Linked DNA regions of Tribolium castaneum. The protein of the gene in region 1 interacts with the protein of each later gene in a pairwise test. Links are inferred from orthologs where the notes say so. Each region holds a gene or a part of one and is shown in the gene's direction. Other genes may lie near its edges.

Region 1 (2,521 bases):
ATTTACATTAGTTTTTTTGAATAGAATCATATTATGTAAAACTATATAGGGTGTTTCATAAAAAAAATAACTTCACCACTCTGTGTACAATAAAAATATTTTTAGTTTGTGGACCATCTATCGATCTGTCGGACTATCTATCGGATGATTAAAATGGCATGGCAATATTTCAAATAACAAAAAAGTTATGGATTGATTATGATTACGCACCCCTGGGTCACACTGTATTTAGTAAAAAATTACTCTTAATAGACCCTATAGATAACATCGGTCTCCTTGTAAAAATAATTTTTTAACACAAAAGAACGTCAAGTAATAGCAAAATTTATTGGACTGTTATTTTTTGTTTTCTCATAAAAATTGTTCTTTTTAAATCATCAAACCTAAAGTCAGGAGTTACAAAACATTTTCTTTGTTTTGTGTTCAGGAAAACCACACGAAATCATCAACACCTACACCGAGGCGGTGCAAACCGTCGACCCCAAACTCGCCGTAGGCAAACTGCACACCCTCTGGGTCGAATTCGCCAAATTCTACGAAACCAACAAACAAATCGAGGACGCTCGTCTCATTTTCGAGAAAGCCACTCAAGTGGCGTACGTGAAAGTGGACGATTTGGCGACGGTTTGGTGCGAATGGGCCGAAATGGAGATACGAAACGAAAACTACGAGCAAGCCCTCAAACTCATGCACAGAGCTAGCACCATGCCATCACGCAAAGTGGCCTATCATGACGACACCGAGACCGTGCAAGCCAGACTGTACAAGTCGCTGAAAGTCTGGTCGATGTTGGCCGACTTGGAGGAGAGTTTCGGGACGTTTAAGTCATGCAAAGCGGTCTACGACAGGATTATTGACTTGAAAATTGCAACCCCGCAGATTATTATCAATTACGGGTTGTTCCTAGAGGAGAATAATTATTTTGAGGAGGCGTTCCGGGCCTATGAGAAGGGGATTTCGCTGTTCAAGTGGCCGAACGTTTACGACATTTGGAACACGTACTTGAGCAAGTTCTTGAAGCGTTATGGGGGGAGCAAGTTGGAGAGGGCGCGCGATTTGTTCGAGCAGTGTTTGGAGAACTGTCCTCCACAATTCGCCAAACCCCTCTACCTCCTTTACGCGAAGTTGGAGGAGGAGCACGGAATGGCCCGACACGCCATGGCTGTGTACGAAAGGGCCACAAACGCTGTCCCTCAGGAGGAAATGTTCGAAATATTCAACATTTACATCAAAAGGGCGGCCGAAATTTACGGGATTCCCAAAACGCGCCAGATTTACGAGAAAGCGATTGAGGTCCTTCCGGAGGACAAAACTCGGGAGATGTGCGTCCGTTTCGCCGATATGGAGACGAAGTTGGGCGAGATCGACCGAGCTCGCGCCATCTACTCGCACTGTAGCCAGATTTGCGACCCGAGGGTCACGACTGAGTTCTGGCAGATCTGGAAGGAGTTTGAGGTGAGGCACGGGAATGAGGACACGATGAGAGAGATGTTGAGGATCAAGAGGAGTATCCAAGCGATGTACAACACTCAGATTAATATGATGTCGGCTCAGATGCTGAGTTCGGCGAGTTCCGTGGCGGGGACTGTTGCTGATCTGGCGCCGGGGGTTAAGGATGGGATGCGGTTGCTTGAGGCGAAGGCGGCGGAAATGGCAGGGACGTCGAGTGGGGTCCGGCCTGGGAATATTATGTTTGTGAGGGGAGAGACGCAAGGGGATAATAAGGATAAGGTTGTTAATCCGGATGAGATTGATATTGGGGATGATGACGACGAGGAGGAGAATGAGGACGAAGGGGAGGATGTGCCGGTTGAGAAGCAGAGTATTCCGTCGGAAGTGTTTGGTGGGTTGAAGAAGAAGGATGATCAGGGGGAACAGGATGAGGGATGAATGGGTTAATCTATTATTACTGATGTGTATTTAAGGATAAATAAAGTGTTTTACTTTTACTACTACTGTTTTACTTATTTGTTCAATAAAAAAGAAAAAAACCATTTGACCAAAAAATCACATTGGCTGTTTTTTACATCAATGGATCGGAAATGCGAAATAAAATTATTCTGGAAAAATTTAACTTGAAAAAAATAGTTAGAATTTGATTAAAAGCCATTTTGACATTATTCATAGGGAATTTCAGTCTAATTTATGAGGGACAAGATTGAGTAGTAATAAATCTCCGCTACAAAAGGACCCACTACCTACCCCAATAACAGTAATGATGACTGCAGGAATTTTACAACTAGCGGCACGGTCCTATCGGGCAGTTTTAAAGCCAGGACCGGAATAAGCACACTAACGTATTAAAAATTAAATTGATGACTATTTTGGTCTAAGCACAAACGAATTCTTCGTTTACAATTCGCATGAACCCTTGCCGCAAGATTTAAAGATTAACATTCCATTTGCAATAAACAGATCAAATAAATGGGAATCCGGGCCTGAAAAATTCTTACTGGCTGCCTCAACCTTCAGACCCAACAATGATCGCGTGCAAATTTTACGACAAATGCAATAAATTTTT
Region 2 (4,069 bases), on another chromosome or scaffold:
AAGCCAAAAATTGGTATAGCTAACAAAGCCACCAAACCCATTAAGACAAAACTGGGAAAAATTAAGGTAAAATTAGCTAGAATGTTGAAAATTCGTAACAAAAAAATCGAAAAGGATACGCAATAATTGGTTCAGCGTTGGAGAAAGTATCACCATATTTGAGGATGTAAATTAGGCTTAAAGTAAATATACTGATCATGTGTAAGCTAAGTGAGATGAGAAAGAAAAAGAAAAATCGGTAATTTCTTCTCCCAATGCAATTATTGACCCATGGACAGTGGTGGTCAAAAGTCTGTAAAAAATCGGGGATTTACCAATTTTTTCAACCAATTCCACAACTCACTTCTATACAGTGGTTACAAACACTACAATGTGAACATCTCGGTGGTCTGTAGAACTTGCACGTGACGCACCATTTCATCCGCACCGTAATCCCGTTGATCTCCACGTTCTTGTACAAGGGGGCCCTGAAATCGTCCTCGCGGTCTTCATCAGGAGGGGCTAAAAACCAGCTCAATTAGCGCTACAAGGGGGTTGTTACGCACCTTTTGGTATGACCCCCGGGTCCATGAACGTAGCGAGGGTGAAATTGGCGAGGACGAAGAACGTGATCACTCCTTGGTACGCGGGCACCCATGGATAATCCTCTAAGTAGTATCGGGCTCTAACAAGCGTAACGTTTGCCTAAATTTGGTAACATAAACACTGACAGGAATAACTCACGGGTAGTAGAAGAACAACGTTGTGGCTACCAACAGTAAAGTCCAAGCAAAAGTCGCTGGTATGTATCTAGTTTTAACATCGCACTTGGGCATAATGTTTTTTTACTCAAGATCTCGCGCAAAACTCGAATTTTCGCCTCAGACAGGCCAACATGGCTGAGACAAACGGGAGAAGTTATCGTTCGTTGCCCCTGTCAAACTCATCTGACACTTGACAAAATCGGGGGAAAAGAAATTCCCCAAGTCGCACACTTTTATATCGATTTTTCACATTAATTACTTGAATTGAAACGGACGGCAGTGCTCAAGTAGTAATTAAAATGCCATTAATTTACGTTTTTACGTAAAAATCCAATGATGGTTAAACACTTGATAGTTGCGCAGGCGCGTTAAGGGTGTCAAAGGTTTCGCACAAAAGTGAGGTTGTGTCAATGTTTTTTGAAAAATGAGCACCGGTTCCAAACGCACTATTTACGTCGGGGGGCTCGCCGAAGAAGTCGACGATAAAGTCCTGAACGCGGCTTTTATCCCCTTTGGTGACATTGTCGACATTCAGATCCCTCTGGACTATGAGACGGAAAAGCACAGGGGGTTCGCTTTCATCGAGTTTGAGAGTGCGGAAGACGCGGCTGCAGCAATCGACAATATGGTAACACCAAAGTTAAATAATGGACAATTTTTAAATATCAGTTTTAGAATGATTCTGAGCTTTTTGGTAGAACCATCAGAGTCAATTTAGCCAAACCACAGCGAATTAAAGAGGGTTCGACACGGCCTGTTTGGTCTGAAGACACCTGGCTTCAGCAGCACGCAGGCGAGACAATCGGCAAGACTATTAATGATCCTGATGATGGAACTAAAGAGGCAACAGATAACGTAAAAATTTCTCTTGATTTTTTGATTTTTTTGAGCAATTTTTTCCCAGGATGCTGACAAAAGTGACAGCAAAAAAGTCAAAAACCCTCAAGTTTACTTCGACATTAAGATTGGCAAGACTGAAGTCGGTAGAATAACAATGCTGTTGAGGGCTGATGTGGTCCCCAGAACTGCAGAAAATTTTAGGTGTTTATGCACCCATGAAAAGGGTTACGGTTTTCAGGGCTCCACTTTCCATAGAATAATTCCAGACTTTGTATCCTTTTTACCCAAAGAAAAATTATATTGTCAACAAGCCCCATAACTTGTTTATCATAAGAAATATTCACTTTTTCTTTTTTTTCTGGATTATAACTGTGTTTCTGCTACAGATGTTAAAAATATTGCGGTATATTTTAAGATTTCCCAATATTAAAAAAAAAAACTAGTTATGTTTTTTTCAAATAGAACACTTTAAATTTTATTACAGTTTTGGACGTAATCGATTCTGTTTAGTTTTTGAAATAATTTGTTTTTTTCAGTTTTTCAAACTTAAATCTGTATCAACTGTTTAACGCATTGCAATTAGGAACGTAGAAAAATTAAGAAGTTTGTTAAAAGTTGGATAACCTGGAAAAGTTAAATAGAACACCCTATTTTTTGTTTTTGCTTCTTAAAGGTCATTAAATTGTCTAAAAACATAAAGTTTCAAATGCCTAAAGTTAATAACTAAAAATCTATTTTACTTTAAAAATTAATTTCAGCAGCAGTACACATTATTTATGAGCATTGTCGTTACCAGGACTAGGGGTGGGCGATATTAAGATTTAAATATCAATAATCGATACATACCGATATATCGATACACCGATACATATCGAAGATTGGCGAAATATCGATATATTATATTGAAGTATCGATATTTACGATAGAGCGATAAAAACATGGGTATTTATAGATAAATGATAGTACCTAATAAATGTTACTGTTAAATTTAAAAAAGTTGAAATGGTGAAATACTTGTTTTTTTTGTTAAATTTATGTTTAAATTATACAGAAATCATAAAGTTTTGTACTAATGCTAATATTTTTGCAAAAAATGTTCTAACCCGTCGATTTTAAATCGCCGTCTTTTTTGGGTAGGCAATCCTCAACTGTTTTTGGTTTTGATTACATTTTTCAGTTCTCTATTTAACAATTGTACAAAAAATTAAATCTTGTACGATAATTTTTTTTGAGAAGATCTAATTTTTTACGTTTAACTAAAGTTAAACGATAATAACGAAATTTGTCGGAATATTGATAATAAATTATCGATAGTTATCGGCATGTGGTGTATCGACAGTTTTAGATAATTATCGATATGTCTATATATATTGATATATCGATCTTTTTATCGATATATCGGTAAAAATTCCTAGCCCTAACCCTGACTACCTCAATATTTTCAAAATATGCAGCAGAAACGCAGCTGTAAGCTAAAAAAGGAAAAATCAATATGTCTAATAATAAAAAAATTTTGGAGCCTTTTCGGCTCGCTGGGACCTGTTTATTAAAGAGGGCTACGGCTGTGAAATTAAGTTGCCAACATTACTTGCTAAATTCCTTAATGACGGTTAGATGTGTCAAGGTGGCGATTTTACCAACCACAATGGTACAGGAGGAAAATCAATTTATGGTCGGAAATTTGTTGATGAAAATTTTGAATTGAAACACGTGGGTCCAGGGACTTTATCAATGGCCAATTCGGGACCAAATACCAATGGGTCGCAATTTTTTATTTGCACGGCAAAAACGGATTGGTTGGATGGAAAACACGTGGTTTTTGGGCATGTTATAAGTGGGATGGACGTTGTGAGAAGGATGGAAAGGTGTGGGACCAAGAGTGGGACGCCCACGGAGAAAGTAGTAATAGCAGCGTGTGGAGAAATACAATAAAAAATATTTAAGAATTTTTGATTTTATGTAATGAAAATAATAAAGAACTTACTAAACGTAAATTGTATTTTTATTTACCCAGGAATGTTTTAGGCACTAGTTTTTCGTATTTTAAAAGAGCACAAAAAAAGATTTAAATACTTTAAATAAAATAACAAGAAAATATTTAAATTACCTTTTTAATGTTTGCTACATTACCGACAGCCATATTGCCAAATTAAACTTGTGCAAAAGAATTTGTCTTTATTTATTTACTTTGCCACAAAGATTACATGAAAAGAATAAATGAAACACCTCGCTTTATTCACAAAATAGGTTACAAAAATTGGTATTATTGTGCAAGTTATAAACCTGACGATAAATTATTGAGTTGGCAACTTTGGGTTCTTCAAGTTTGAGGATTGAGGTTACGTTTATCATTGATAGGTTATGTTTGACCGCAGCATGTTTTTATTTTGTTGAATATCAAGACTAGTTTAATTTAATCCAACCACAATGAAGAATAAACCGATTCGTCACAAGGATTCAAACACATTTAAGGTACATTTTGGAAT

Evidence for each region. The genes of interacting proteins can lie anywhere in the genome.
Region 2: the proteins of fand (region 1) and cyp33 interact in a two-hybrid assay, tested with the Caenorhabditis elegans proteins (2 studies listed by BioGRID). The link is inferred for Tribolium castaneum from reciprocal best matches to the Caenorhabditis elegans genes syf-1 and cyn-13.

What each region holds. Positions count from the first base shown.
Region 1 is NC_087398.1:14,018,576-14,021,096, reverse strand, and holds the end of fand (pre-mRNA-splicing factor syf1 homolog), read left to right. Parts: intron 1-427; coding exon 428-1,890; 3' UTR 1,891-1,949; downstream 1,950-2,521.
Region 2 is NC_087394.1:24,073,818-24,077,886, reverse strand, and holds cyp33 (peptidyl-prolyl cis-trans isomerase E), read left to right. Parts: upstream 1-1,167; coding exon 1,168-1,371; intron 1,372-1,418; coding exon 1,419-1,598; intron 1,599-1,647; coding exon 1,648-1,854; intron 1,855-3,197; coding exon 3,198-3,515; 3' UTR 3,516-3,577; downstream 3,578-4,069. Other genes in the region: palmitoyltransferase ZDHHC8, read right to left, coding at 1-51, 120-292, 344-501, 546-664, 724-815; small subunit processome component 20 homolog, read left to right, coding at 4,011-4,055.